4 linked regions of the Tamandua tetradactyla genome follow. The protein of the gene in region 2 binds, or shares a complex with, the protein of the main gene of each other region. Links are inferred from orthologs where the notes say so. Each region holds a gene or a part of one and is shown on either strand. Other genes may lie near its edges. The genes, in order: MAP3K20, MAPK14, NOD2 and TAB1.

What was found.
Region 1: MAPK14 (region 2) and MAP3K20 share a complex: the UniProt entries of both Homo sapiens proteins name them as parts of the signaling complex. The link is inferred for Tamandua tetradactyla from reciprocal best matches to the Homo sapiens genes MAPK14 and MAP3K20.
Region 3: MAPK14 (region 2) and NOD2 share a complex: the UniProt entries of both Homo sapiens proteins name them as parts of the signaling complex. The link is inferred for Tamandua tetradactyla from reciprocal best matches to the Homo sapiens genes MAPK14 and NOD2.
Region 4: the proteins of MAPK14 (region 2) and TAB1 are in contact, whole or in part, in a crystal structure (PDB 4LOP), measured with the Mus musculus proteins. The link is inferred for Tamandua tetradactyla from reciprocal best matches to the Homo sapiens genes MAPK14 and TAB1. Residues at the interface, in NP_036081.1 of Mus musculus: Gly110, Ala111, Asn115, Ile116, Cys119, Gln120, Lys121, Leu122, Thr123, Asp124, Asp125, His126, Phe129, Val158, Asn159, Glu160, Asp161, Cys162, Leu217, Thr218, Gly219, Arg220, Thr221, Leu222, Asn272, Val273, Phe274, Ile275, Gly276, Ala277; in NP_079885.2 of Mus musculus: Val385, Tyr386, Pro387, Val388, Ser389, Val390, Pro391, Tyr392, Leu405, Ser406, Leu407, Val408, Met409, Pro410.

Annotation. Positions count from the first base shown.
Region 1 is NC_135329.1:144,878,911-144,886,669, forward strand, and holds the start of MAP3K20 (mitogen-activated protein kinase kinase kinase 20), read left to right. Parts: upstream 1-4,516; 5' UTR 4,517-4,573; coding exon 4,574-4,680; intron 4,681-7,759. UniProt on the Homo sapiens protein: Stress-activated component of a protein kinase signal transduction cascade that promotes programmed cell death in response to various stress, such as ribosomal stress, osmotic shock and ionizing radiation.
Region 2 is NC_135331.1:92,713,813-92,721,843, reverse strand, and holds the start of MAPK14 (mitogen-activated protein kinase 14), read right to left. Parts: upstream 3,207-8,031; 5' UTR 2,746-3,206; coding exon 2,630-2,745; intron 1-2,629. UniProt on the Homo sapiens protein: Serine/threonine kinase which acts as an essential component of the MAP kinase signal transduction pathway.
Region 3 is NC_135342.1:44,463,849-44,472,192, forward strand, and holds the start of NOD2 (nucleotide-binding oligomerization domain-containing protein 2), read left to right. Parts: upstream 1-4,971; 5' UTR 4,972-5,039; intron 5,040-8,344. UniProt on the Homo sapiens protein: Pattern recognition receptor (PRR) that detects bacterial peptidoglycan fragments and other danger signals and plays an important role in gastrointestinal immunity.
Region 4 is NC_135333.1:31,924,037-31,931,443, forward strand, and holds the start of TAB1 (TGF-beta-activated kinase 1 and MAP3K7-binding protein 1), read left to right. Parts: upstream 1-4,151; 5' UTR 4,152-4,272; coding exon 4,273-4,305; exon of another isoform or gene 4,306-4,766; coding exon of another isoform or gene 4,767-4,778; intron 4,779-7,407. UniProt on the Homo sapiens protein: Key adapter protein that plays an essential role in JNK and NF-kappa-B activation and proinflammatory cytokines production in response to stimulation with TLRs and cytokines.

The sequences.
Region 1 (7,759 bases), on a different chromosome or scaffold from region 2:
CACACATACAGAGATATGTGATATATATATCATAGTGAATTTTGTTCACAACATTTTGTGCGTGTATGCATGGGCCAAGAATAACCCAGGTCTCCCACATGGCAGGCAAGACTTCTACTGCTGAACTACCATGCCCTGTAATTTCCTTTAATGTCCCTCAATTAAAGCCCACTTAGGGCAATGCTAAAGCAGGCAAATGCCTGTCTATGTTCATGTACTTAAGGCTTCAAGTCTTCAAGAGCAGGGGTTTTGTTTTATTCAATTTTACGCTTCCCACCTAGAGTCATGCACAATGCCTGGAATTTACTAGAAAAAATTTTAAATGTTTATTAAATAAATCTTTCTGAAGTCATTATTGTTCACATTTCACCATGTCATAAACCTCAATATCTGCTGTAAAATTTTTGCCATTATATATTTTTCCTCTTTGAATGATTTTCAAAGGTTAACAAATGAAGCTGATGGTCCATTCCTTGGGCATCCTTCCTCTAATTAAAGAATTGCTTGTTTGCTCCTACCTTACTGTCAAGCCAGCCTCCTATTTATGACAGTCTCCTTCCCCCAATTTGCTGGCAATTGACCCTTATGACCTTATTTTAGTTTAGTTTTAACATCATTCAAAATTAATACATGTTCCCCCAACTATGTTCCCCTTGGTCTTCTAAAGGAGAATAACTATTGCTGCCTTTACTAAAGATAAGAGATTTTAATTATGTCTGGCTTCTTTGAAAATGCATTAAACTCCATTATTCAAGGTAGTGATGGAGAAGTAAAAGAATTCACACTCTAAAAATATAGAGTAGTAGCCAAGCAACCCTTCCTGAGGCAGGAGGTGCAGTTAATATTTTAAAACTTGCAAACAAGCCAGAAGAAAATGAGATACCTACAAGGTCACAAGAAGTATAATGAGGTTTGCTAGAAGATGTGAAAAAAGAAGAAAGAATGTTTTTACCAAAAGCATCTGTAGAAAATTATATATTTAAGTGATGAACATTCTTGCTTAGTAAGGTCACTGGCGGGTGTATAGGAGCTAAGATTTTCTGGCAATTTTGAATGCCTTTCAGGTTAAATAGGCTTTTCCTGAATTCAATAGCATTTCCTTCTAAGATATGAATGCAGATCAATGACTACTAGTGTGAGAAAATTAAAAAGAAGTGTCATTATCGTTTCAAATTGTGCTTATAATTCAAAAAATCAGCATAGAATATGCAATGTGGCAAAATGAACCCCTACTTTGAATAGCTTTTCTTTTGCTGTCAATCTAAAATGTGTTAAATCTCTTGCTTCTGAGTATCTTAAAGAAGAGAATGGTGTTAGATGAGCAGGTCACAGCTTCTCTGATTTATAAACTGGTGAAGAATCATTAACTTAATTAGTATTGTTGGTTGTCTTTCCATGCATTCACTCATTTATCAGCAAATAATGACAGAGGTGCTAAATGAGTACCAGGCTTTCTGTAAGTTTGGGATTCAATGGTGAGAAAAACTAAACAAGGTCCCTGTTCTCCTGAAGTTTATCATCTAATAGGGGCATCATAAGATTAATCAAATAATCACACAAATATAAATATAGAAGTGCTTCAAGGGATACACGTGGTGTTATGAGAGCATATCATAAGGGTATTTGACTTGATCTAAGGTGAAGAAATGTTACCCGTGGAAATGGCAGTTGACCTGAACTCTGAGAGATACAGGTGCTAAGCAGAAAGAACAGGGGAATGGGTTCTAAGCAGGATAAGCCATTAGCCATTGGCAGTATGATGGACTGAAAACTCACCACGGCAGAGCAGAGAGAATATGGGAGAAAGTGGCATAAGATGTGCTGGAAGAGTTCAGAAGGGCTCAGAGTTCACAATGCCTTACAAACCTTTTTTAAGGACCTTTATCTTTAATCTCAAAGCAGTGGAAGTCTATTACAGTGCTTGAGGAAGTAGGGTGCTGTGATCAGACTTTGATTTCTGATAGTTAGCTTTTGGAGGGCACAGCCACTACTTTATATTATCACACTGTCTACCCAAAGTGTACTCTCTAATTCTTTAATTGAATGATTTTATTATCCAGGCACAAAGGCAGGGCAGAGGAGTTGTAGAGTGCTGCAGTATTTAATACTGCAAGTATTAAAAAGCAGTGGTGAACTCAGATAGCAACACGCAGTCAAACGCCATCCTTCCTCCTGACTTAGCCCACACCAGGCCATATTGGACGTATCCCGTGTCTACCTGTGCCACCCCCTTGGAAAGTTAGGCTGTGTATGGCACGGCTGCTGTGAAAAAGCAATGGTTAGTGGACCCAGGGCTCCATATGTGGAGGTCCAAACATAGAGTAGAGAAGGCTCCATTTGCCACTGTGCCCTCAACTAAGCCACATCGGCCCACGTGCAATCACAGTCCAGAAACCTTTGTCTATTCTTGCTAGCCTGTTGGTTGATGTATCAGAATACTGTTGCCTGTAGTCTGATGTTAAAGGGTGGCGGGGGGGGGAATTTTAGTAACCCCAAGAGAATAAGGTCATGGGAATGGGAGATGTGTCTGCCTTGGGCTCCTTTGCATATGTCTATCAAGCAGTTAGGGAAGGTCAAGGATACTGCTAGAGCAAGCCAGGATCTTTGTCTCCAGGCAAATACAAATTTGGAAAGATGGGGAACAAAGCTTTACCACAAAGTAAAGTGAGTACAAATCACTGAGGGTTTGTGGGCACTGGCATGGATTCACCCTACAGGCTCAAGGAAGAGATGGAGACTAGGTAGAACACAAGAGAAAACTGGAGCAAAAGTTGGTAGAAAATTCTTCAGAACAAGTTTTTTCAACACATGAGACCAAAAGAGGACTAGAAGAATCCTAATAGCTACCCACCCACCTCCTTAGCCAAAGACAGATGGCAAGAGTATCCAGGGTGATAAACACAGGGAGAATTTGCTGTTGTCAGTTTGGGGCAAAAAGTGTGAGGGTCAGATTCTGATGGTTCAGTCTTGGTGAGGAGACAAGCAGCTTTAGGATGAAGAAAGGGGTTGTTCAGTGGAATGATTAATCACATCAGTGAGTTTATGAGTTGCTGAATAACAAACTACCCCCAAATATAGTGACTTAAATAAACAACCATTTATTTAGTTCATGAGCCCATGGGTCAGCTAGGTGTTTTCTTCTAATCTGGGGCAGACATTGCTGCTCTGGGATGGGCTTATACACCTGCAGTCGGCTCACTAGGTGGTCTTGGGTGGAATGGTTCATCTCTGCTGCACGTACTCTCTCATCCCTCAGTGGGCTAGACTGGGCTTATTCACTGGGTAGCTGGCACGGGATCTGAGGGAATGAGAAGATAATCAAGAGCTCTTGAGGCCTAGGCTTGGAACTGGTGCACCATTGCTTCTACCACATTCTATGGGCCAAAGTGGGTCAAGAGACCAGCCCAGATTCAAAGGGTGGGGAAATAATTCTATTTGTTGATGTGAAGAGATGCAATGTCATGTTGCTAAGTTATGGACACAGGAAAAGAGGTAACTGCAGCCATTTCTGTAAACTGTCTACAGAGTAAAGGAACCACACATGGCTGGACAGTCTGCTGCCCTTCTTTGGGGAGAGTTTTTCAGGGCCTGGTGCTGCCAGATGTTTAAAGTTTTTCTTCACAGAACAGGGAATATAGTACTTCTTAGAGAAGTAGCATAAAATAGCAGAAAGCATATAGGCATTAAAATCTGACAGATCAGGTTTTGAATCAGTCTGGGGCACCTCTACCATATGCAGAATGTTTGTGTATGTTGGGAAAAAACGCTACCCTTCTCTCTATTGGCACAGTCCCACTGGAGACATCCCCTTCAACCAGGCTTCCTTGTGTATTCTACAGCCCTGTATCAATGCTTATGGGTAGCCCTCAGCTGTGAACTTTGGCCAATGTATTTAACTTCTGTGAGCTTCCACATCTGCAAATGGAAATTGGAATACCTCCCTCACAAAGGTTATGGTGAAGACTGAGTTAAGGTATCTAAAGTGCCCAGCATACTGAGTGCTTGGAGCTCAAGAAATATTAGTGTCTTTTCTTCCTTTCTGCTTTGAGAGACCACAGCAAAGCATACTTTAAAACATTCAAGGACTCCTGAGAATCTTCAGCCAAATCAAGTATGGAAGGATGGAAAAGGAAAGAAACTTATACAGGTGCTTTGACACCAAAATGGGATGGAAGGTTAGTTCCATAGGCCTGTATGACACATGTGGTTAGTATCCCAAATTTGGGTTACATGCAGTTTTGCAAAGTTCTTGCTGCAATAATTGAGCCAGGATATTGAATTTTGTATATATATGTGCTGGTTTTGAATTTGTGGACCCCAGAAAAGCCATGCCTTTTAATCCTCATTCAGCATTGCTGGATGGGAGTTTTTAAATTATCCATGGAGATGTGACTCACCCAATTGTGGGTGGTAACTTTTGATCAGATGGTTTCCATGGAGGTGTGTCTCCACCCACTCAAGGTGGGGTTGCTTACTGGAGTCCTTTAAGAAGGAGGCATTTTGGAAAAAGCTACAGAGTCAGCAGCCTGAGACCTTTGGAGATGAAGAAGGAAAATGTCCCCAGGGGAGCTTCATGAAACAAGAAGCTGGGAGAGAAAGCACGCAGATGCTGACAAGTTCACCATGTGCCTTTCCAGTTACGAGAGAAACCCTGATTGTCATCGGCCTTCTTGAACCAAGGTATCTTTATCTGGATGCCTTAGATTGGACATTTCTATAGGCTTGCTTTAGTTGGGACATTTTCATGGCCTTAGAACACTGGACTGGCAACTTAATAAATTCCCCTTTTTAATAAGCTGTTCTGTTTCTGGTATATTGCATTCTGGCAGCTAGCAAACTAGAACAACACACAATAAAAGTTAATTGCAGTGGGACAGAAAATATTTTAAATGAAAGAGGGAGGAGAGGTGAAAATAAATGTCCCAGACTTCTCTTACCAACATTTAAAATGTTCATATTTGAAAGAGTAGATCAGAAGCTAAACCAAAGGATAACATACATTTTTTATACATAGGTCACATTAGAAAGTAGATTTTAATCTAGCCTGGCTATTCATTTAGGTGTTCAGTCTGTGTAGCCTAGAATCAATTACACAGTGTTGTGAGATCCCTCCTAAGAAAGTAGCTCTTCATTAGTAGTTCTAATCTTTCCTCCAACTAATGTTCACAAGCCATTATAAAAACCATTTTTATTTCTGGTCTCAGGAATTAAATTGTAGGTATAAACCAAAGTGTACATTAAATTAGGGATTATTACCTGTGGTACTCTATGGGAACCAGGTGATGCTGGGTCATTTTAATTAAGAATTCATTTTCAATAATAGCACAAGCAAATGAATAACATTAAATCAACACTGAAACAGCTGGAGAGGGATGGGGTAGATTATGGGAATAACCCAGAGACTCAGTTGTTTCATAGACTTAATGTGCAGAGTTCACTTGTGTATTAGGAAAAAACATCTAAGGAACAACTATATAAACTCTCTATAATAGGGGGCATAAAAATCTTTTAAGCACCAAGAGAAGACGATTGCTGCAAGAAAAAAAGAAATTCTGTACTTTGATTTAATACAGAGTTTTAAATACAATGTTTTCTGAATGTTGACTTTGTTGGAAGATAATTTTCTGGGATATACTGATTCAGTAATTGGAGCTTTTCACCTGTCAGCTCAATGGCCATGTATTGAACACACATTATGTACCAGATACATACACCCAGTATTTTGTTTTGAATACCTGAAATGAATAGTCTCACTATTTTACTGATGAGGAACTACCAAGAGAAATTAAATATCTTGCCCAAGGTCATATGCTCAGATTATGGCAATACTGGGATTTTTGAACCAGGTATATCTGATTCCAAAGTGCATTATTAACAACAAGGTTACACTACTTGCCTCTCTTTTTGTCACTAAGAGAATTGATTATGCAGACTTTTGATGCCACAAAATAAAAATAATAGAAAAGAGTTCAGGAATCAAAGCATGAGATTAATTTTGCTGAAATATTTTAAGCAAAATTAAACAAGAGATCTGAGATGCTTTTCTCTAAAGTCTTAACTCTCAGAATAGAAGTTGGTGTGTGTGCATACATATAAATCCTCATCATAAATATCCGACATATCATATGCCATATATCAGATATTTCCATAAGAAACCTTTATTTTCACTACGCACGAATCTTGAAGCACCATGTAAAGTTTTCTAGTCACCATAAAGAATCCACTCCTAAGCAGGAAAGAGCATCAGTTGTATTTAAAATGCTTTATCCCTTAAACTGAGTGGTTGGCCTATCGATTTTCATATAATTCTCTATACCTTATTTCATTAGAAAAATGGCTCTACTGAAATCCAATATGGATTTACAAATATTTTGTAGAAAAGATGAAGAAGGGGGTTTCATTAAAGAACCCCACAGTATTTCATTTTTAAAAATTCTCATTGGACATATCTTCTCTTCTTCCAGATCTTTCTTCTTTGCTATCTGTACTCTGTTCTCCTCTTTCTACTCCCAACTTCCCCCACTCCCTCAAGTTTGAAGATTATTCTTGGGTACCCTAAACTTGCCTCCTTTTTCACACAGACCATTTAATTTTCTCAGAGCTTCTATTTCAAACTTGAAAATCTCCATCTTGGCTGAGGATTAAAATATTGTTTACACTGAAAAAAACAGAAGACCCTTCTGTTACCAGGATCCACTCTCCTTAGTAGAGCAGTATAAATGAAAAAAAAAAAAGTTATAATAGAACATAGGGAAAATAGTCTTATTTAAGGTGAAAACTGACTATAGTTCCTTCTGCCTCCTAAGGGTGGATGTCATAATCCATATCATTCTTGAATATAAATAATCAACAAATGACAGAAATGTCTGAGAAAACTAGTACTTTAAAAGAAAAGAACAAAGAAAAGTAGAGAAAAGCTGACCCCAGAAGAAAGAGAAATAATTCAGGTAACTGAATAATAATATTAGGAAATTTATAGCATGTGAAAAATGATCACTAATAATATGAATAGCTAATTTTACTGAATACTTACTCTGGGCAAGCCCTGTGTTACACACTGTACCTATACTGACTTTTCCTAACAAAACCCTTATTATAATTCCCATTTCACAGATGAAGAAACTGAGACTTAAAGAGGCTAACTAACAATACACAAGGTCACATAACTCATAAGCAGTAGATCTGGTCTCAATCTAGATCTATCTAATTCTTTTTTTTCCCTATGCTATACTGCTTTAATCTTTGTTTTAAACATTCTGAAGTCCTCATTAACATTTGTCCTGGGTCATCAAATCATCAAATTTTCATGTAATAAGATGATTCACAGTTCATCCTGACTTGCTTAAGAATCTGGGAAAGGATGAGAATTTGAATTTGGTCCCCTTCTCCATATACATATACAGAAGGCTACCAAGAAGCTGAAATCCAACCCAGGACTTCAACGATAACTGTGAATTTCATTCTGTAGCAAGGTGACTACCTTAAAACTTGTTGCATCCACATTAATCAGGACCAGAAATTTGCTGACCATCTATAGATATATGTGAGGCAACCTCCCCCAGGGGCTGGGGATGTTAGTCATAGACATCAAGCTGCGTAATATGACACACTGAAACCTGTTAGAGGGGTTTATTTAACTAAGTTGTGTAGCAAAGTGATCCAGATAAACTGGTTGTATAGACAGGAGGAGGCTGGCTAATTTAGGTTGAATTATGATTACTCAACTGGGTAATTCAGTTGGTTTTTAAAAATCTAAATG
Region 2 (8,031 bases):
GCTTAGAAGAAAAAAAAAGTCACATCAAAGTGAGCACACTTCAGAGCAATCAAATTAGGAAACTGAAGGTATATTTGAATGACACTGCATTACCTAATATGCTTTTAGAGATTCTTTTCTGAAATAGACTTCAGGTCCAGTTCTACAAGTAGCCTAACAAAATGTGTCATTACTTTACAGTTTTAATTCCTATCTCACCTAAAACAGTATCACCAATCTAACTGCCTAATTTTTTCACCAGTCTTCAATTCAAATCCCCTAAATTATTTGAATATATTTTGACTTTTAACTAGTCCTTAAAATCCAATCTGCTCTCAAGGGAGGAGGATGGAAGAAAGTTACATAGGCACCAAAGTGGATTCTAAGAAATTTCCCAAAAACTTTTCTGTCACACTGGAAAAGTTGCTAACTAAAAGAGCAACTTCAAGTAACTACCCTGCCTAAGAAAGCATTCATTTATGAAACTAATTCTGGCATTTTCAGTCTAAAATCAGTTACATTTGTTTATAGTCAATTTTCATATAATTCCAGTTTTATTTTTCCCCACCAATATATTCTAAGTTGCATCTTAAATCCCCTTGACAGAACAAACAATAGAACAAATGAAAAACTCTGCCTCCCTGAAAGACACACAAGAAACTTAACAGTGGTTATCTCTGGGGAAGGGAACAGGGAGGCTGGGGAACAAGAAAGGAAAAGAAACTTTTCACCGAGTATCATTTATGTCTTCTGAATTTTATACAATGTAAATGTATTACTTATTTTTAAACCTGTTTAACAAAATTACTTCCAGATGCCAGGTACTGGTGGCTTCTATAAGCCAGCAAAGTAGAGTACTAAAGAAATTTGGAGCTCATTTTAAGGACATTTCACCGTAAATCTGAATCTCCTGTTTCATTGCAGAGACACACAAAAACGAAACCTTTCTTTTCAGCTAAACTCCTTTAGCTAATGTGAATCTTTTGCATCATTAAAAGCTTAAACATCATTGGAAACAAAAACAATACTACAAAAATTAGTGAATCAATTCAAGAATGTAAAAATGGAAGTAAATCTATGAGCTATTAAAGAAGCAACGATCCAAATACATCTTTGAAAACTAGGAAATGAACAAGAAATATATATAATGAACGTTAAATGCTGCAAATTATTTTAAAATGCTAACTGCCATACTGTAAAAATGGGAGAAAGATGTCAAAGGATGGTGACATCTGCAACATAATTCAAGCAGCTTGAACTAGGAAACGCAATATGATCTGTTGTTACTCACAATTGCACAATCTCAATTACTCAGAAGATTCTACCAAACAGGAAATTCATGATGTGGCTTTAAGGAACACAGGAATCATATTTAGAGATTAACACGTTCAAAAATCTGGAATTTGTTCCTAAAAAGAAAAATAACTTTGCAGGTCTTTTTTCAAAAGATCCATGGACATGAATTACTAAAGCTAACAATTAAATCTGATAGTTTCAGATCAGGCGCTCTGAAATCGTAGTAAACCTAAAATGAATCCTTGGAAATTAAAGAGAAGTTACTGAAATATTTCAGGTCTGGAAATTTTATGGTATTAATTTAATTTAAAACACGCTCCGGTTGTAAATTTAGAGTTTGCAAGTGTCTCTTTCTTCCTTTGCTGTATGTTCCTTATTCTTATGAAGATCATCATGTACCTCAGGTCATAAATGTGGATAAGTTCCTGCAAACTCTCCATAAGGAACTTTAAAAAAAAAACCTGTAGTTGCAAAAATTGTCGAACTTAAATATATTTATAACATTTCCCAACACTGTTAATAACTTTTTCATCTGGAGGGCATTCAACGGACCTTTATCTCACTTACTCCAAAAGAAAAAACTTTTGTCAAACAATACTTAAATGAGCAATGGTATGTGAATAACCACTAAGGCGGCCTGTTTCTTAAAATGCAGTGTTCCTGCAGGCACTATCACCCCACCCCACCCCCCTTGGCGGAGAGGAAATACGCTTTCAACCGAATCGGAAACACACCACTCAAGCTGGCACGGTGGAGATAAAGTCAGTATTTTAAGCTCTATGGGTCGCTGTTAATTCAAGTGCGAATTCAAAAAGAAGGCTTCTCAAAACGGGATTTCGACAGAGGGTTGCAAAAAAAAAAGCCCAGGGAGGGTTCTTTCTTCGTCAGTTTTGTTCAGATGACTGCGGTCCACCTGTCGGGTTTGCCCTTCTGCTGCTCTCTGCAGCTCCCCAAGCTGTTCGTTCACCGGGCCTGTTCCTGCGCCCTAGGATGGGAGCACCCCCGAAAGAGTTCCTCTGCTTGACGCCAGCAGAGTCCTCACCCCCGCCACCGTCCCAGACCCCAGAGCAGCAGCCTTCCAAAAAGAAACGCACAGGGGAACCAGGGCCGAGCTCCAGGCGCCGCTCTGTCCACCCCCACCCCACCGCGAACCTGCGTCCTGCATCCGGCTAACCACCAACCCGGGTGTGCAGGGTAAGGGGCAGGGGGTGCAGAAAAGGACTCAAATGCGCAGCGATGCCCTCCCCGTAGGAAAATTCCTACCGCTTGGCTCATCGCTGAGCCGTGTAGGCATGACCCTTGGGCGTGAGGGACCATCCCTGCTCAACGCGGCTTCAGGCTCGGGAATACTCACCACACCGAGCCATACGCGCCGGAGCCCACCGGAGACAGGTTCTGGTAGCGCTCGGGCACCTCCCAGATTGTCTTGTTCAGCTCCTGCCGGTAGAACGTGGGCCTCTCTTGAGACATCTTCCAGCGGCGGCCGCAAGGCGAGGAGGTGGCCCAGTGAGGCCCCCGTCTGCGCCCGCACCCGCTCGCCGGCCTTCACTGCCCGCCCGGCCGGGACCCCGCGCTGGCAGCGGGCGCAGGTGCGGCTGCTGCGGCCCCACCGACAAGCGCGCGCGGCCCCTGTCACCCGCAGAGGCTGGACGCGCTGCAGAAACCCGGGCGAGCCTGACTAAGGATAGGGCGCACTCCAAAGCTCAAGGCTGCGCCCGCCGCAGTCCCCCTGCACCCTCTCCCCGACCAGGCCGACTCCAAGCAGCGACGCCCAAATGTCTGCTCCAGCTGCAGCGCCCGCTGAGGGTCCTGTGGTAGCGGATCCAGAGCCAGCTTTCAGTAGCCTCCCGCCGCACTCTCGCGAGAACAGCTCCCGGGACACTCCGTGAGCCGAGATTTTACCCAATATGGAACATGCTCGCGGGAGGGGGCTCATAAGGAGAGAGTACGGGAAGAGCACTTATCGCGAGAGCAACAACTAGAGACGGGAGGCAAGAACTCCCAGCGTCTGGTCTCGCTTAAGAGCGCGAAGGCGGACCGGGAAGGTGTGGAGCGACTGGCAGTACTTGCCACGTGCGCCTCTTTGTGGTCGGCGGGGGAAATGCCTGGTGCTGGAAAGTGACAGGGACAAAGTGTCGGGAAAAGGGTCAAAAGATCTTGGGACTACGGGTGTAGGCACCAGCAGCCGAGCGACTGCTCAGCGGAACCTCCGATCTCCAAGAAATAACTGCATAAAAAAAGAGAAAGTTTCTGACCAGAAAACAGTTATATTCCCATCTGCTCAGGGACAGTTTGGTTTACTTTTCTGCATTCTGAAGAAATCTGTTTTATGGGCAAATATCAAGGCTGAGAATTTCCACCCAAAATTTTTGTGTGCAGAAGAATCGCTGTGGAAGTTTGCTTTAAAATGCAGATTCCCAGGACCCACCCAGAGTCTGTTTAAATAAGTCCGACGTGATCATTTTTACCGTATATATACCTTGGGTGGATCTAATTCAGGAAAGTCTCCAGCAACTCCCTTTGAGAAGCATTTTTTCGGGGTTTGAAACTGACTCCTACGCTAAAGAACGTTCCAGTGAAGAGGATTTTAAGCATATAATTCATGCCTCTCAGTTTGGACAACAGAGCGCATTGCCACAACACATTAGGCAAGTCAATTGACCTTTCTTAGACCTTAGTTCCAGCTTTTGCAAAACAGAATTCCTGCCCTACTTCCCACCTAATCGGGTCATTTGTAAGAGTTAAACAGGTTAATAAATGTGAATGGGCAAGGTATTCTAATCCATGCCTGTCCCCAGTTAGCGTTCTGTTCCTATGCCAAAATTATTACAAGAGCAGGAGAATTTATCTTAGACATAACTAGGGCCAAACCAGGCTGCTTCTCATCGCTCCTCATGATTATTCTCTTTTGTGTTATGCATCCTTTGGAGAGCTCAGACTTTGCCTGGCACTCCACAAATATTGGTTAACAAAATATGAAAAATGGCCATGATCTCAATTTAGGAGATGGTGCAGGGTCCTCAGTTCTCTTCAAGAAAAACTAAATTAAAAAGCAAACAAACAAAAAAACAGGAAAACAAGGTCATAGACGATCTGAGGAAAAAGCTTTTGCACTCAACCTGTGTTCTCCTGGTTTCTCTTGCCTGTGAAGATACACTGCCTGAGAACAGGCCAACCTGCAGGTCGAAGAACTTTCTAACAAGTAATGGAAGGTAAAAATGGGAGTGAAGGCAAAAATATGAGTGTGGAGAAATGAAAGGTGGGAGTGGGTCATCAAAAGGATGAGTGGATGCAAGAAACGATGGGGAGGTTTGGAAGTAAGAATCCTAAGACATTCATATATTTATCCAGTAAACTGAGATGATGGAGTGGGGGTGATTGAAACGGTAAAGACGAAGTGACCAATATATTCACTCATTCAGCAAATGCATATTGAATGCCTACTAAGTGGCAGCCATTTTCATTAAAGAGATGATTAAAAATCAGACACCATTGCTGCCCACATGGAATTTACAATCAACAGCAAGGCAGTCCTTCAATCATTCAACCCAACTTTATTGAGGCTTACTATGTGCACTTCACTGTTCTAGGCACTGATGATACCTCATTTTGTAAATGAGGTGAAACAATTTACAAAATGAATAATAACTCAACTATTAATACGGTAATGAGACAAACAAATGTAAAACTGCAACAGGGCCAAGCAGAAATACAAGGAATAGTGAAAGATGGTGACTGGGAAGGGAGATTGAAGGGGTGGGTACAGAAGGGGTGTGTGCCTGCGCGCTCGTGTGTGTGTGTGTGTGTGTGTGTGTGTGTGTGTGTGTGTGTGTGCAGATCAGAAGAACAGGTGCAACCGGGCGGGTGCTTTTCTCCAGTGCGGACAGGAGGCTTGTGAGTTACCGTCCGAAACTCTTCTGACCCGGGATTTAAGTGAATTAATACAGGTGAAGTGAAGGGCATAAGGCCTGGCACCAAGTAAGCCCTCCATTAAGAATAAAACCTTAAATGAATGGGAACCTAGGATCGCCTCGAGCTTTCACTATTCTTGATAGGAGGCCTATTTGTGCCAGGCCTCATGCTCCTCGCTTCACATTCGTTAATTCACTTAATGAATTAAGTATGGCCCAGGTACCTCTCTGGTGCGGATCCCCACCCCCGCTCCCATTCCCCCCGCCCGCCCAGAACTCCCGCGGGTTCGGCGGCAACGGTTCAGGAACCGCCGGCGTCCGCCGCGGCAGCGCCGCCAGCCGGGCCTGAGTTGGGTGGACCCCAGCGCCTGCACCCGCCCTCGCCGGGGAACCAGGTAAGCGGCTGCACAGAGACGCCGAGTGCTCGGAGCTGCAAGTTGTGGGCGAGGGATCGTCGCTTTCTGCAAGTCGAAGTCCCCTGGCGAGGCCAGGCACGTCGTGCACCCTCAGTCAATATATGAATGAATATATGGGAGCTTATCTTTCAGAAGTATTATCTCTATTTTGGAAGTCCGCGTTGGATAGCAATGACAAGAGACGATGTGTGCGTTTTGCAAGGGGAATCCCTTCAAAGTCTCTTGTCTGAATTGTCAGGAGCCCCCGAATTAGTCCTCTCCTGCACCTCACCTTTCCACCCCAGTCGTTTTCTGCATCCTGCCTGCCCAGAAGCGCTGCGTCCTTTCAGATCTCACTGTTTTTGTTCATTTGGGTTCTTCTGACTGATCTCCCTCACTCTTGCGCCTTTCTCTTCCTGTCAGATCCTTTTTTATCCTTCAGTGTACCCCCTTTTGAAGCTTTCTTAACAACCCTACTCTAATAACAGTGTCATGCCCCTACACCCACTACTATTACCCATTGTGTTGCATTAAAAGTGGTTTCATGTCCGATGGTAAGCTCCTAAGGGTTGCTGCCACTGTCTTATTATTCCTCTTTATGTCGCCAGTCACTAGTCAGAGAGTTGCATTGAAAGTACTAAAAGACAATGGTCTTTGCCTGTGCCTTTTCTATATTCCAAATACATTTCCTATAAAAACTTAGGCTGACAAGAGCTGTTTTACATGGAATTAAAAATGCTTATTTTTTTATTTTGGAGATGAAATTGCCTTCCCATGATTATAGAGAATGTATGATAGATGACAATATCAGAGAAAAGATGTTCTTGCAACTGAACTAGGTTTCAGGATTTCATATGAATTGGGTCAATAGAAAATTGGGTAGTATTTCAATTATGTTCTTGACTTTTAAAATAGTCAGAACACAGACTATGTAAACAAATGGATGGAGGGATGGATGGAAGGGATAGACAGATGGAAGGGACAAATATGGGGGGAGAAGGAGCTCAGTCCAAAGTGCTCATGTAGCCCTGGAAGAAGGGCTTAAGATAATTGGCTATATTTATAGCATTCCTCATACTTAATGTATATCAAAATCACCAGAAGGGCTCCTTACAAGTTCAGATTGCTGGGTCCATCCTCAGAGTTTCTGATTCAGTGGGTCTAGGAGGGGCCTATGAATTTGCATTTTTAGCAAAGTCCCAAGTGATACTGATGCTACTTGTCCAGGGACTAAGTTTCATTAGCAGAGATTAATTTCTCACTTCTAAGAGTTAATCCAGATACTGGAAACACATCATATTTGTGGAATAAGAAAATGAAAGCTTAGGTAGTTGAGACCCATGCATTACCCACCTAACTATTCCGTCTGATGGCAGAGAGCATCAGGGAATGGTTTTCTAAGTGGACACTGATCTTTAAGATTATGGGTAAAGCTTTAGCATGCTGTTGATCACACTGAGTACAGTGGCCTCATTAGACAGAGATTTTCAAGAGTCGCTAACAGAGACACCCTCCTTGTCTTAGCTGAAACATCATCATCCCATCATTGTGGTTTGGGTTCTTTTTTCTGAAATATGCATCTGCCAAATTTCACACCAAAGTGCATCTGCCACTTGTAGGTAATAGCCTCTGGTCTGCTTATCTTGTCGGGAAGGTCTTGCTAATGCATGCAAACAAGCCATAAGGGTTTCTATGAAATCACAAAAGATATAACTGAGCTGGAGAAATTCCAGAGGGGAATAAAACAAAAATGACTAAAGGAAATCATGATCATGTGTTTTCCCTCGCTGCTTTTAGCTAATCACTTGATAGGTCCTTTTAAGCCAGCTTCATAGCTTTCCACTTGCCCCTCCTTGCCATCTTCATTGTGGCCACACAGGCTTATGACTTCATTAGGTCTTCCCTGGACTACTGTATTATTGTCTCCAACTATCTTTTTGCCTCAGTCTCTCCTATCTCCAGTGCTCTCCAATAGAACTTTCTGTGATAATGAAAATGTTCTATATCTGAGCTGTCCACCAAGATAGCTACTAACCACATGTAGCTACTAAGCACTTGTAACGTGGCTAGTGCAACTGAGGAACTGAATTTTTTGTTTCATTTTAATTAGGTTAAAGTTAAATGGTCACGTGGCCAGTGGCTATCATACTGGACAGCACAGCTCTAGACCATTCCACGGACACGATTCACCTTCCCAAACTGCATCCCTATAATACTATTCCTCCTGCTCAAGCATTTCGAATAGCTATGAAACAAAATTCAGATTCAACCTAGCCTTCAAGACCCTCCAGGAATAGGCCTCAACCTTTTTTTGGTGGCCTCAACACTAAAGTTACTCCTTTCTCCCAGTTTAGATGATATATGATCATCCTGAAGGAAAACCAAGTTACTGGTACATTGAACTTGCTTATAGCCTCACCCATAAAGAACTATTTGTGTACATAACTTGA
Region 3 (8,344 bases), on a different chromosome or scaffold from region 2:
GCACCTGAAGGAGACAGTCCAAGCTCCTGGGGGCAGCCCTTGCACACAGGCAGCCGGCATACCTATTCTTCCACCAGCCTCCCCATCCAGTAGAATTTTAAATGTCACAACCCAGAAGGTGACTCCCAGTGAGGAAGGGCTCAGGCCTGGGGCTCCTGGAGACTGTCCCCTTGCTTTCTGAGCACTACCTGGTAGGTGACCAGGTCAGGGCACTCAAGTACAGAAACACCACCAGAGCATCCCTACTGCCTGCCTTTGGCATGGGACCCTGCAGGCAGGGAGGTGGTAATAAAGGCTTCTTAACCCACTGAAAAGAAAGCTTTAAAAAATTATTATACAAGCAATATGGGCTTATTAGGAAATATAAGCTAACAAAAGAGAATTTAAACAATCTACTTACAATCCAACCATAAATTTTGAAGGATAGTCTTTTGACTTTTTAAATGCATGTATTCATAGATTTTATTACAGAAATAAGAGCATGCTGCATGAAACATTTTTGCAACTCACTTTTTTTGTATTGACATATAATTCATATGCTGTAAAATTCATCCTTCTAAAGTGTATAATTCAGTGGCTTTTAGTATATTCACAAGGCTGTGTAACCATCACTATTATCTGACTCCAGAACATTTCATCACCCCAAAAAGAAACCCTGCATCCATTAGCAATCACTCCCCATCTCCTCTCCCTCCAGCTTTAGCAACCACTAATCTATTTTCTGTCTCTGTGGACTTGTTTATTCTGGACATTTCATAGTTATGGACTGTGCAGGTTTGAGAGGATGTATGCCCCCTCGAAAAGCCATGTTGTAATCTAAATCCCATTTCCTAAAGGCAGAATAATCCCTATTCAGTACTGTATGTTTGAAACTGTAATCAGAGCATCTCCCTGGAGATGTGATTTAATCAAGAGTGGTTGTTAAACTGGATTAGGTGACGACATGTCTCCACCCATTTGGGTGGGTCTTCATTAGTTTCTGGAGTCCTATAAAAGAGGAAACATTTTGGAGAATGAAAGAGATTTGGAGAGAGCAGAGAATGCTGCAGCACCACGAAGCAGAGAATCCATGAGCCAGCGACCTTTGGAGATGAAAAAGGAAAACACTTCCTGGGGAGCTTCATGAAACTGGAAGCCAGGAGAGAAAGCTAGCAGATGATGCCGTGTTTGCCATGTGCCCTTCCAGCTGAGAGAGAAAGAACCCTGACTGTGTTTGCCATGTGCCTTCTCACTTGGGAGAGAAACCCTGAACTTCATCCCTGGATGCATGCCTTTGATTGGACATTTCTATAGACTTGTTTTAATTGGGACATTTTCTTGCCCTTAGAACTTTACACTAGCCACTTATTAAATTCCCCTTTTAAAAGCCATTCCATTTCTGGTATTTTGCATTCCGGCAGCTAGCAAACTAGAACCTGGACCATACAACATGTGGCCTTTTGTGTCTGGTTTCTTTCACTTAGTGTAATGTCTTCAAGGTTCATCCCTGTTGTCACATATATCCAAACTTCATTCCTTTTTAGGCTGACTAATATTCCATTGCACGGATATATAACATCTTGTTTATCCATTCACCCGCTGATGGACATTTGCTTCCAGTTTTAGGCTACCATAAATAATGCTACTGTGAACATTCATGTACAAGTTTTTATGTGAACCTATGTTTTCAGTTCTCTTGAGTATATACTTAGGATTGAGCTGCCTGGTCATTGGTAAGTATATGTTTAACTTTTTGAGGATTTATCAAACTGTTTTTCCAAAGTGGCCGCACCATTTTACATCCCCAGCAGCAGTGTATGAGGGTTTCCATTTTTCCACATTCTTCCCCACATTTGTTATTCTCTGTTTTTTAGTATAGCCATCCTACTGGATATGGAATGGTATCTCACGTGGTTTTGATTTGCATTTCCCTATTGACTAATGACATTGAACGTCTTTTCATGTTCATTTGTATATATATATATATATATTTGATAAACACCTATTCAAATCCTTTGCCCATTAAAAAAAATTGGGTTACTTATCAAAATTGCTAAGTTGTAAGAGTTCTTTATTCTAGTCACTAGATCCTTGACTATACGACTTTGCAAATATTTTCTATCATTCTGTGGGTATCTTTTGACTTTCTTGATAATGTCTTTGAAAGATAAAGTTTTTAATTCTGATGAAGTCCAATTTATTATTTTTTCTTTGATTGTGTATGCTTTAGGTGTCACAGCTGAGAAACCATTGCCCCATCGAAGGTCATGAAGTTTTACTCCTATTTTTTCTTCTATGAATTTTCCAGTTTTAGCTCTTTTATTTAAGTCCTCAACCAGTTTTCAGTTAATTTTTGTATTTGGTGTGAGGTAGGGGCCCAACTTCATTCTTTTTTATGTGGCTATCTAGCATCATTTGTTGAAAAGATACAATCTTTCCCCATTGAATATCTTGGCACCCTTTTCAAATAGCAACCCATTTAGAAAACTGATATTATATTATGGCATCTTTCCATGCTAATGAACATATATCTATAAGCATCTTTTAAAAATAAAGCTTTATTGGGGGTGCAAGGGTAATTTAGTGGTAGAATTCTCACCTGCCATGCAGGAGATCTGGGTTTGATTCCCGGGTCATGCACTTTCCCCAAACGAACAACCAAAAACAAGCCAACAACAAACAAACAAAAAAATTCAACAAATGGTGCTGTAGTAACAGGATACTCACATGGAAAAATAATGAAATGTGACCCTGCCATACAACATACCAAAAAAATAACAATAATAAAGGCTTATTGAAATATAAGTAATACAAAGAAAAGTGCAAACACTGTAAGTGTTTAGCCATGAATTTTCAGAAAGTATTCACACCTGTGTAACTGCCACTCAGACCAAAATACAGAACATTATTTGCATCCTGGAAGCTCCCCATGCCCCTTCTCAGTCATTACCTCCACCCCATGGTAACTGTTATCCTGGCCCCTACCACTTAGTTTTGCCTGCTTCTGAACTTTATACAATTGATAACAGATGGTAAGTATGCCTTTGCATATGACTTCTTCTACTCAACATTTTGCCCATGAGATTCATTGGTGTTTTTGTGGGTTGCAGTAGTTCATTTGTTATTACAATTACTGCATTGTTTTTAGGACATTCATTCAAATATTTATAGCTTACCAGGTCCTGTTCTAGACCCTGGAATAAGGAAACGAATGACGCAGAAAGGTTCCTGTTTCAAGTCCCAGCGGGGAGAGATTGACAAAGAAAATAAGTAGGACATATAGTGTGTTATATGGAGATAAGTGCTATGGAGAAAATTACAAAATGCAGGGAAAGGGATGTGGGGGGCAGGTCGCAATTTTGTAGGGGAGAGCCAGAGAAGGCGTCCCTGTGAAAGTCATATTTAAGCAAAGACCTGAAAGAGGTGGAGGAGGCAGCCACATGGATTTTAGAGGAAGAGCATTCCAGGCAGAGGAAACAGCAAATGCAAAGGCCTGGAGGTGGCCGCAGGGTTGGCACATCCCAGGAATGTCCGGGAGGCCCACGTGGCTGGAGCAGAGTGAGCGAGGACAGGAGGATTTGGAGAGGTCACAGGGTGACAAATACTGACAGTAGGACTTGGCTTTGACTATGAATATGAATGAAATGGAACCATTGGAGGGGTTTGAGCAGAGGAGGGACCTAATTAGCCTTTTTTTTTTTTAATGGACTCTGGCTGCTGTGTTGAAGAAAAACTATGGTTGAAACCATAGAGAACTGCTAGGAGTGCTTGCTATAATCTGGAGGAGAGATGATGGTAATTTAGACCCAGGTGGTCATGGTGGACATGGTAAGAAGCGGCTGCATTCTGGATCCATTTTGAAGGTCAAGCTGAATAATTTTTTCCTAGGATGTGGGGTAGCAGAGAACACATGGCGATTGAGTTCTCCAGGTTCAGAGGCTCCGTCGTGTCCTTTAAGCCATCTCATAGGATTGGACATTGAGGTTTCCAGCCTTTCACTGTTAAGGGCATCCTTGTGGGTAGATTTGTCCCCCATCTGGAATGATTTCCTTGATGAAAATCAAGGAAAGAATGAGTCTTTCGATTCAGCATTTCCCAGCCTCAGCCCACCGTGCCCCACTTGTGCAGGTATTTACCCGGAAGCAATGCAGGGCAGTGTTTTAGAATACACTCTTTGGTCTAGACACCTTGGGGGCAGGACGTGGCTCTGCCGTCACAACTTTGAAATCTGGGATAGGAGAATGACTCTGTGTTTCAATTTCCTCATCTGAAAATCTGGGATTTTAATAGTTCACTCTGTGAATCTATGTAAAGCCTGGCACACAGGAAGTGCTATATACATGTTATTTTCATTATTTTTCTTGAAATTGACTTCACATTTTTTAAAAAGCCAGATAGAAGTGTATAAAAGGAACATTGATATTCCTTACTTGACAAAGTAGTGTCACTTGCTCTGTAGAATAGGAAATCAAAAAATAAATAGACTGAAAACAAGACAGTGCTGTTAGCTTCTGGTTTCATATTGCTGCAGCGACAAGGAGACGAGGCTGTGTTCTAGAAGAGCTCAGCCCTACTAAACTAAACTGAGACCTCTCTCGCCAACTTACAAGGTGGAGAGAAAAATGGAAGGTGTGTAAACCATCACGTACCTACAGCATTGTTCTGGGAACTTCGCAATTTTAAGACTTTCAAAAACTGGATTGACTAGTTCCCCCAAGGATGCACAGGTTAGTATAACACCAAAGGATGTCACCGCACGTGCGTGTGTCTGTGTTTTGGAGGGTGTGTGTGTCCCGAGAGACTTGTCTCCGGACTCCCTCCCAGCCACTCTCAGGTCTCAGGTGAGTTCCTGGCCCCCCGGGACGCGGGCGCTCTGGGGCGGGGAGCGGGTGTGGCCCGCCTGGCAGCGGCGCGGCGGGCGGGGTGCCCGGCAGTGGGACGGGCCCGGGGCGGGGACACGGCGGGGCGGAGCCGAAGACCCGCGCGGCGGGAGCCGGAGCCAGAGGCGGGAGACGCTTCCCGAGCCCGGGCTGAGGATTCGGGACGCCGGCGGCTCCGCGGTGAGTGCTCGCTCCGGGCGCGAAGTCTGCTCCGGGCGCGAAGTCTGCGCCCAGCGCCCAGGCGGCGGGGAGACAGTGGGCGCCGAGTGTCCTGCCCCCTGGCAGTCGGACGCCTGGCTTCAGAGCCGTTATAGTCGCTGGATTTGGGGAGGGTGCGCCTCGGTTTGCCTTTGAGGACTCCCGGGGTATACATGGGGGACAGAGAAAAGAGAATGTCTCAAGGTTGGGAAGCCACCTGGTGGGTTGTGGATACAGATGATGAGGAGACTTGGGGGCATGGGTGGGACTCACCACCTCCCAGGTTCCCTGATGTCTGGAGAGGGTGCTTGACTTGGGGGTCACCAGAGTAGTGGGGACAGAACCTCTGAGTTGTGAAGTCTTGAGGCTCTGGGCTGGGAGTGAGGAGACCAGACACCCAGCGTCTCAGTGGGATCACCCTTTGTAGTTACCCTTCTTCACTCTGGGCCTTAGTTTCCCCATCTTCCCATACCTGTGAATGGTTGGGTGTATGTGGGAGAGTCTGCTTGGATAATCTCTAGCCCCACCTCTGGCCCTATAAATATTATGGGGGCTCCTTCTTCTTAGTTTTCCCAGTTCACCCCCTATCCCCACTCCATCTGCTGCCCAGCACCGCATCCTCTGAGTCATTCGCTCTCCCCACTGCAGCCCTCTTGTCCTTCTTACTTGCCAACAAACTCAGAAAACTCCCCAGGTCCCCTCGGGCGGCATCTTCTGCAGCTGGCTGAGGGCTGGTAGCTAGACCCCTGGCTCTGAGGCTGCCCTGGGCCTCTTTCCTCTGTTTGGGGCCCTTTGGCTTCTTCCTGCCCTTTGCCTCAGTTTCCCCAGGGGCTGGCTCCTTGAAGAGTCCTTATTCCATAGAAGGGAAAAAGCCTGCCCTGCCGCCCCTCCCCGGCGCTTGGTGAAGACCAGAGTGGCCTTCCATGGCCTCTGCTCCGCTGCCTGAATCGGTCTGCTGGGGACCCCAGCGGCCCCTGAGTTTGCTGGTTACTCAAGGCCCCCTTTTCCTCTCTACATGTTGGAATTTGAAGGTGGAAGGAATCTCCTCTAGCCCACCTCCCTCCCACCCAGGGCTGAATGCCTGCAGAGTGCTGGCCCAACCTCTGTTGCGTCTGCCTGGTGACAGGGACCTCATTGCTTATGAGTCCTGCAGTTCTCACTACACTCAGCTAAAGCCCAGGGCTTGCAGATCCCCCTTCTTGGCTCCACTTCTGCCTGCTGGAGCCATACAGAGGAAATTTATTCCTTTATTTGAAAAATCCTGATTGATGCATTGTATGAGACATGGGGATAGAGTAATGAAGAAAATAGACGAAACTGTCTGCCTTCATAGGGTTCACATTCTCGAAAGCAGTCAAAAGCAATCAAATAGGTGAATGCATAGTATGTCAGGTGGTGAGAAGTATGCCATGGAGAAGAAAGCAGGGAAGGATGATGGGGTGGGGTATTGCAGTTTTATGTAGCCTAGTCAGGGACTGTCCCTCTGAGATGGTGACAACTGAGCAAAGCCTTGATGGAGGTGAGGGGTGAGCCATGTCAATGTCTGGGGGAGGGAGAGTGTGCCAATAGAGGGAGGAGCATGTGCAAAGGTCCTGAGGCAGAAGCCGGTGTGTCCAGAGCTGGGTGGATGAGGAACAGGTGGGGGGTTAGTAGGAAACGAGTTCAGAAAAGTAAGGGTTGGTGTGTGTGTGTGTGTGTGTGTGTGTGTGTGTGTGTGTGTGTGTGTCCATAGTGTATGGCCCTAAAGGTCACGGGGAAGATTTTTGTTTTCACTTGATTGCAATGGGTGTCACTGGAGGAGACACTTGCTCCGATCTGGGGTTTCACAAGCTCATCTGGCTGGGGGATGGAGGATAGACTGTAGAGGGGTGAGGGCAGAAGTAGTGGACCAAAGAGGTCTACTGCCATTATTCAGGGGAGAAACCATGGGGCCTGGAAAGAGGTGGCGAGCAATGATCAGATTTTCTGATTTGGGATGTACTTAGAAGGTAGGTTCGATAGGATTTGGGATGCACAAGGAGGGGTGGGAGTCAGGCTTTTGGCCTGAGCGCCTGGACATTTGGAGGTATGGTCAGCTGAGATAGGGATGCCTGTGCCAGGAGCTGTTTAGGGAGAAGAAAGGAGTTTGGTCTGGTACTTGCTAAGTTTGGGTTGCCTATTGGACATCCATGTAAAGAGGTCCAGTAAGCAGCTGGGAAAAGTTGAGGCATGTGGGGGGAGCAAGAAATGAAATTTGGGGTGCCAACACACAGTGTTAGTAGGTAAGCCATAAGAGCAGGGGAGCCCACTTAGAGAGCGAGGGATGGGAGAAGAGGGGTCTATTCAGGGACCCCTGGACTAGCACTAGGACTGAGAAAGAGCAGAGGGCAGTGTCCTGGGCTCTAAGGAGGAACGTTCTTCAAGGAGGAGAGGACAGTAATTATGACAAATGCCTTCAGCAGAATGAGCAAGATGAGGGCTGTGAATCGAGCAAGGTGGCGTGGCTGATGACTTTGACAAAAGCAGTCTCGATGGAGTGGTGGGGCGAAAACCTGATGGAGGGGAGGGGAGATGAGGACTGGGATGCAGTGGTAGAGGCAGAGGACAGGAGGCCTGCTGTTAGAAGAACAGAGAAATAGGGTTGTAGCAGAAAGGGGAACGGGAGAGGCTTTACATTTTGAGAGGGGAGAAATGACAGTGTGTCTGTGTGCTAATGTGGAATGACAGCCTGGGAAGGGGGGGACCAGAATGGGGGATGGCTGGGAGTGGGGCGAGAAGATTGGCACCAGCTTCCCAGGAGCTAAGAGCAAGGGCAGCTTCCCTGGTCCTCCCTTCCTCTCCTGCTGCAAGACCAGGAGACTGGGGTGTCAGTATGTAAGCAGAGCGTGGGCCCCAGAGAAAGCCTGGCCCTGCTGTGGTCTCTGGAAGGAAGGAAGTATCAGAGCTCAGAACTGGGCCAGGGGACAAGCTTGACCCTGTGTTTTGGCAAAGAAGTATGCCTTTCTCCTAGAGAAAAGGACAATAGTGGCTCCAAAGTTGTCATGACTGAAGTAGATAAGAAAAGACAATGGAGACAGACTGATCTATTTACTCTGAGGAGGGGAAGTGATAAAGAGTAGGGGGCGGGATTTTAATTATTATGAAATAGCTGAAGGGTGAGCCACTGTTTTCTCCTTCTGTTAAACGGAAGCAGGAGAAACTCAAGCCAGTCGTAACAAGGAACTTCTCAGGTTTGTTAGTGAAGACAGCAACAAGGCTAAGTTTTCCTTCCCGGATGTTTAAGATGAAACAGGACAATGCCTACTCAG
Region 4 (7,407 bases), on a different chromosome or scaffold from region 2:
ATACAGTCAAGAGGCTATACTGGAGGCTACTCTTATGCAAGTTTCAGTTAGATAGTGCAAATTGGCATGGTTTGCTAAACCCCAATCAACATCACTCTTGTTGACTCTTAAGAACACCTAGGGCTTGGACCAAGAATCTATAAATGTTTCATGCGCTAGGTTTGCCTTTCTGGAACATATAATTCCCAGGGGGTTCCTAGGTCAGCTAAATCCTGAAACTCAGAAGGACCAGCCTCTCCAAGATTAGCAATTAATTTCATCCCCATATCTTTTAGTGTTGACATCCCTTCTCAACATGGAAAAGTTAGAATGGGCATTGCCCAAAGATCCCTATATATTGAGAGAAGGATTAAAGAAGGAGAAGGTATAACAGAAGAAATGGGATTTAACAAACAAGTATGGCTGCTGAATTACTATATTAATATTCCTTCTAGCCTCCAGTGTTTTGGAGCAGTTAGAAGAAAAAAATCTGAGATAGTGGAATGGTAGCCCATGCCAAACTCTGGGATCTGTTCTGTAACTACTTGTTGACATGTGCTTCGAAAATTATTGCTTTTTTTCTTTCTTTGCTTTGTATATATATTTTTTTCAATAAAAAAAGTTTAAAAAAATGGCCCTATATATGCTCAAAGAGCTAAAGGAAACATGGACAAAGGAAATCAGGAAGATGATAGATGAACACAAAGAGAATATAAATAGGAAGATGGAAATTATGAAAAGGAGCCAAACAGAGCTGAAGACCATAGTAACAAATTAAAAATTGCCTAGAGGGCTTCCATAGCTGATTGGAGCTGGCAGAAGAATGAATCAGCAAACCTGAAGATAAGACAATTGAAAGCATCCAGTCTGAGGAGCAAAAAGAACAAAGAACAAAAAGTGAACAGAGCCTGAGGAAGATGTGGGACACCATCAAGTTGCCATTATATGCTTTGTGGGAGTCCCAGAAGGAAAAGAAAGGGACAGAGAGAATATTCAAAGAAATAAAAGTTGAAAAAATCCCACATTAAATGGAAAAAATGAATATACACATCCAAGACATTTAGTGAACTCCAAATGGGTTAAACCTAAAAAGACCTACACTGTTCCAAATTATCAAATGTTAAAAATAGAGAATTCCGCAATTCTGATTTCTCATTGGAAACCATGGAGGCAGAAGGCAGTGGGAGGACATACTTAACGTGCTAAAAGCAAAAAAACTGCCAACCAAGAATTCTATATCCAGCAAAACTATCTTTCAAAAATGAGGAAGAGGGTGCGTGGATGGTTCAGTGGTAGAATGCTCACCTTCCACGCAGGAGACCTGGCTTTGATTCCTGGATCATGCACCTATAGGGAAAAAAAATTAGGAAGAGATTAAGACATTGCAAGATAAACAAAAGCTGAAGGAATTGGTCAGCACTAGATCAGTCCTACAAGAAATATTAAGAGGAGTTCTGCAGGTTGAAAGGAAAAGACACTGCATAATAGGCTGAAGCCACATGAACAAATAAAGATCACTGGTAAATTTAATGACATGGGTATATATAAATACCAGTACTATTATATTTTTAAATTTGTAACTACATTTTTAATTCCTACAGGATTTAAAAGGGAAATGTATAAAATGTAATACTAAATAAATGGTTTTGGATTCGTAACATATAAATATGTATATGGGGGAATGGAGGGCTATAGGAACATAATTTATGTGTGTTACTGAAGTTGGGTTGGTATCAAATCAAAAGTGGTTGTTATAGATTTAGGATGTCAAATTTAAGTTCCATGGTGACCGCAAAGAAAATATCAGAGAACATGCAAACACAGAGACAGAAAGTAGAATGCAGGTTATCAGGGGTGGGAGGGCAGGGGCAATGGGGAGTTAAGGAAAAATTATTTCAGGTTTTCTGTTTGGGGTAAAGGGAAAGTTTTAGTAATGGGTGGTGACAAAGGTTCTGCCATAGTGTGAATGTGATTACTCCACTGAATAATAAGCCTGGGAGGGGTTGGGATGGGAAGATTTATGTTTTATATATCTTTCCACAATTAAAACAAAAGAAAGAGAAATTAAAGAGAAAATGACAATTAAATGCAACACATGATATTGGATGGGATCTAAGAATAGAGGAGAAAAGACCCAAAAGGACATTATTGAGACATAAGAAAAATTAGAATATAGAATGTAAGCTTCATATCAATGTTAAATTCCTTGAACTTGATAACTGCACTTAAGGTGATTACGTAAGTATCCTTGTTTGTAGGAAATATACATGGGAGTGTTTTGGTTCAAGGAGTACCATGTGTACAACCTATTCTCAAATATTCAGAAGATAAATAGATAACAGATAGGATATAAAACAAAAGTAGCAAAATATTAAAATTGGTGTATCTATGCATCTGGGGGCTAGGGGTATGTTGGAATTCTCTATATGGGGTTTGTATTATTTTTGCAACTGTCCTGTATGTTTGAAATTATTTAAAATATTCTTTAAAGTTTTTTAAAAAGGGAAGGGAGAGGTGATGCTTGCACATAAATATTTGTTTAATTAAAAAGTCCATGACTGAGCATGGACAAAATGGCTGGAGCCCTAGCAGCTATTTTAGGCCATGTGATGCTACATTGGTAGGACAGTGAGATGAGCCACCACCACAGCCCTGGATTGCCTCCCACTCTTTCTCGCTTCTAAATCATCAACTCTTCTCTATTAAGCCTTTTCTTTAGCATTTAAATAGGCTCAAGTTTCTCCAAATGTAAAAGAAAATCTCTCCCTCCATTCCCTGTCCCCTTCCCATGTCCTCCTTCTCTGACTCTTCTTCACCTTTCACCAATTGGGAAGAATCACCTGTTCTGAAGGTTTCCACATCTCTATTTCTCAGCCATTCCTTGACTCACTGTTTTGGGGCTTCTGTCCTACCATTCTGCGTGAATTGCCTGGGCCAAGGTATTCTGCACTGCTAAATTTAATTGATTTTTTTTTTCAGTTCTCTTCTAACTAGGTCTCTCAAAAGCAGGGCCTCCCTGGACACTCCTCACCTTGGCTTTAGTGTCACCTTATGCTCTCCCTAGCTTACTGGCCGCTTGCTCTCTGTTGTCTTTGCCAGCTGAGCCTCTGCTCTGAGCTCTTGTCCTCTCTATCCAATGATTGACTTGACTTCTCTACCTGCGTGTCTCAAAAGCACTTCAAATTCGACATGTCCAAAATGAACTCATGTTCATTACCTTCTTCCTTCCCCCAAACCTAGCTGCTCTTGCAAGGAATCTGGGAGACACCTTTGAAACATCTCTTCCCATGACTACCCACAACCAATCCATCTTTAGGCCCTTACAATTTCATCTCCTAAATAAAATCCACTCACTGCCGTCAGCCAATTCAAACTTCTAACATTTCTCACCTAGAACTCTTACAACAGTCCTCTACTTGGGTCTTCCTGCTTTGCTTCCAATCAACCCCCCTAAAAATCCATTTGTACACAGTAGTCAAGGGATCTTTCTACCAATGGGATCTTGTCACTGTCTTGCTTAGAAGTTGTCAATGACTTCCTCATGTCTTCTGGGTAAAAAGCCAAACTCTCGCCTGGAGCCTGCAATGGTCACGGCTTGACTACCACCCCTTCATCTCACCCTCCTACACCTCCGTTCTCACCCCACACATTCTGGCAACTCCTTTCCTTGGAGCTTTTGTACTCGCTGTCCCATCTGCCTGGTCGGCCCTTCCCTGTTGCCAGTTAAAGCCTATTCCTCCCTCAGAATTCAGCTCAAGCGGGACTTCCGCAGACTGGATCCTCGTCAATACTCCCACGCTGCTACCCATAAACTTCTTCCAAATTCTTTAGCACCATTTGAAATGCTAGCTCCTTGAGGGTTTGTCTTTCGCGGTGCGGTCATCCAATGAGTATTTGCTGAATGAATGAATGAACTCCTGCTCTTCATCCCCGCCCCCCCGCCCCCTACTCCTGTCTCATTGCGTTCATAAAGAATCCTAATCCGGGGCTTTAGGAATCCCACCTGAAAGGCGTTCTGGAGAAAGTGAGCAAATAAAGATGGGCGAGAGGCAATCACTTAAGGTAAGTGACCATCTTTGCTACATGTTATCTCCCTTTACCTCTCAGAGAGAAAAGGTGGAAGAGCGCGCCTGCGTATACGCCCCTCTGCAGTCCCGTCCCACTTCGGCCGTGAGGTGGCGCTGGGCGCATGCTCCTGGCAGCGCGGTCCTCCACGCCTCCTGCAGGCCACTCTAGCCGCCTATTTCGCCTGCTCTGCCGGGAAGCTGGCGCGTCCGCGGGGGTCCCTCCAAGATGGCGGCGCAGAGGAGGAGCTTGCTGCAGAGTGTGAGGAACCGATCCGCTCTCCGGGCCGAGGGTTGGGAGCCCGGGAGGGGGCCTTTCCGGTCCAGGAGCGTCTCCTCTCCGCTTTTGGACCGCCTCCCTCTCCCGGGCATGTTATCGCCGCCTTCCTCTCTCCCAGGGCTAGCCCCCCTCACTCTTGAGGTCGGGGGTACGCGTTGCGTGCGCGACCCCGTTCGGCGAAGGGAGTCCCGCGCCTGCGCGCTGCTGGCCGGGAGGTTGGGGTGAGGGGGTGTTCCGGGCTTCCCGGTCCCAGCGTCCCCTAGCGTCAAGGGTGCCGGGCTCCTCACTGCGGGGCGTCGAGGGTGGAAGCGTTCTCCCAGCCCGAAGAGAAAGTCCGGGTCGTGAGGCCACCCCGGCACAGAGTAGTTGTGCAATGACAATAATGCCAGCAGCACCCACTCATAAACTGCTTACTGTACTCCAAGCAGTGTGCTAATTGCTTCATGTTTGAAAATGTAAGTTTCATAACAGCCCCATGGAATTAGTGCTGTTCTTCCTGCTTTACAGATGAGGAAACTGAGGCACAGAGAGTTGGTCATTTCCCCAAAGCCACTTGGCTGATAGGTGGCAGAGGCAGGATTCAGTTGATTGCAGAAGCCCTTCTTATCCTCTAGGCTAGACTGAAGGAATGACTGGGATAGTGGCAACCTGGCTTCTAGTCCTGGCTCTGACTTATTGTATCCTTCCGTCTCAGTTTCTTTATCTGGAAGGTAGCATGGATGAGATTCCCATCTGGACACCCATGGGTTTGGTACTGATTTTGCCTCAAGCCCCTGCATCCTCCTAACATGCGTGCACAAATAGGTGCACACGTGTCCGCACCACAGACCTATTTTGACCTATCAGAGTTGAGCCCTGAACTCCTGGGTCCTCTCAGCTGTGGCACTCTTGTAATTGCTTCTGGATTTGTCTGCTTCCGGTACTAGAAAGTGAACTTGAAGACCGGGACTTGTGGTCTCTTGCTTATCATCATGTCATTAGGACCCCATTATGTGCCAGGCACGCAATAAATATAATGATTAAAGCATTTGTAGCCAGGCCCAGTGCCAAGCTTTGGCCTTAGAGATGCATTAACACTCCCCTCCCCCCACCCCGGAAGGAATTGAGGGTGGGGTGACCTTCACTACTGTATACTGAGAATTCATGTAGACTGTCTGGAAGCAGTCTTGAAGTTGCTCCCCCAGGAAACCTCCCCAGGTCTCCCTGGTGGGGATAATGCTCTTCTCCTCCACAGTCCTATATTTTACTGCTGCTCCAGTTGGTAAGTTAGGCCTGGCATCTTCTACTTTGTAACCTCCTGGAGAGTAGGGGCCCCTTATGAATGTTCCCATTGTAATAAGCATTCCCAAAATGCATGCTGGATTGTAGTGTTAAGAGAATGGTTTATAACTGATAAATTCTGCAGGCTGGCTTGGATTTGCTAGGAGAGAGTGGCTGTCTGGGTTGTACAGACGAGGTTGGCTGCCAGCTTCTGTCCCCTCTAGGCATGATGGAGACCAAGGGCCTTGGGTTAGATAGAAGGCACGCTTTATTAGCTCTGGAATGTATTTCTGGGGGTGGTTGTAGAATCTTTCCTGGTGCTTTTTAAAGATAGACTAGTTAACTTTAAATATTTGTCAGGGTGATGAAAGCAAGGGGGTGTCAGGGATGTCCACACAAGGCCCCTTCTACCCTCTTTTACTCTGATGATGAGCAGCTCATCTCTGCTGTCCACAGAGGAGAGGGCCAGGTGGAAGATGGGGCTGCTTACCTGCCCTCATGTTGTCCTGAATCTGTGCCTGGAGATCTGAAGGTGGAGTAAGATCAAGTGTCGACCTTCACCATATTCCTAGTCCAGCTTGGGAGAAGGAGCCAAATGCTGCTGAGACAGTGTGTTAGGTTCTCTGGTGTCAGTGTGAACATGTGTTGGGAGTCCTGCAGAGGCAGCAGAAAACTTTAAAGTCTTTAAAGGAGGGTGGGAGTTTTCCAGGCAGAGGAAAAGGGAGACATTCCAAGAGGATAGTACTACATGTTTTTGTGCTGAGGGGCTGAGATGTGGCCTAGTTTGACCAGGTCAGAGTGGGCTTGCAGGAAGGGCAGGGCTTGTGGGAATGGCAGGGGAGTTGCTGTCAGAGGGCTGGAAGAGTGTACGGAACCAGGTAGCAGAGTATCTGGTATCATGGAATGTGGTCCTGAGGAATTTCACCTTTCATTCCCAGCTAGTGTGGCACTTCAGAAGGTCTTTGAGCTGAGTGTGCTGTGAATAAGTGAGAACATACTATTCATTCCTCCAGCATCACTGAGCACTGTTATGTGCAGGCACTGCAGAGATGCAAAAGACACTACCCTCAAGGAACTTTCTAGAATGTAGACAACAAACGGTGAACCAATATAGCTCTTATATGATAAGAGAATATCTACAACAGTGTAACATCAAGAGGTGCCGTGAGGATTCAGAGAATGGTGGAGGGGCCATTTTGGACAGGGATGACCCGATGAAGTAGCAGAAGCAAGCCTAATGGATATGGGGGGTGTTCCTGCCTGAGGAAGCAGGGGGTGCAAAGGCCTGTCTGTTTGGAGGCCACAGGGCTAGAGTGGAGGGTGTTGAAGGGTGGGAGTGGGTAGTGGTAGGAAGATCCTAGGGAGCTGGGGGCCATATTGGGCCTTGCGGGTCCTGATAAGGACTTTGGGTTCCATTTTAAGTATAATGCAAAGGTCTTGGGTGGTTTTGAGTGGTTTTGAGCCGGGTCTAAATGTGATCTAACTTTGATTGGAGAAAGACCCCTCTGTTGAAAATAGATATTCGAGAAGTGAGGCTGGGAGACCAGGGCCTGCAGGGGGGCCTTTACTAGTTGTCCAGGTTCAGGATGGTGGTGGCTTGGCCCTGGGTGGAGACAAGAGTGTTGAGAAGTATCACATTCTGGCTGAATTTTGGAGGAAGGGCTGATCTAATATGCTGATGGTAGGATATGGGTGCAAGACAGAGAAAGAGAAGTCAAGAAGAACTACAAGGTTTGGGATTGAACAACAGTAGTACCATTTACTAAGCGGGGAAACCCTGGAGGGAGGAGAACATTGGGGCAGGAACTGATCTTTTCTTTTTTT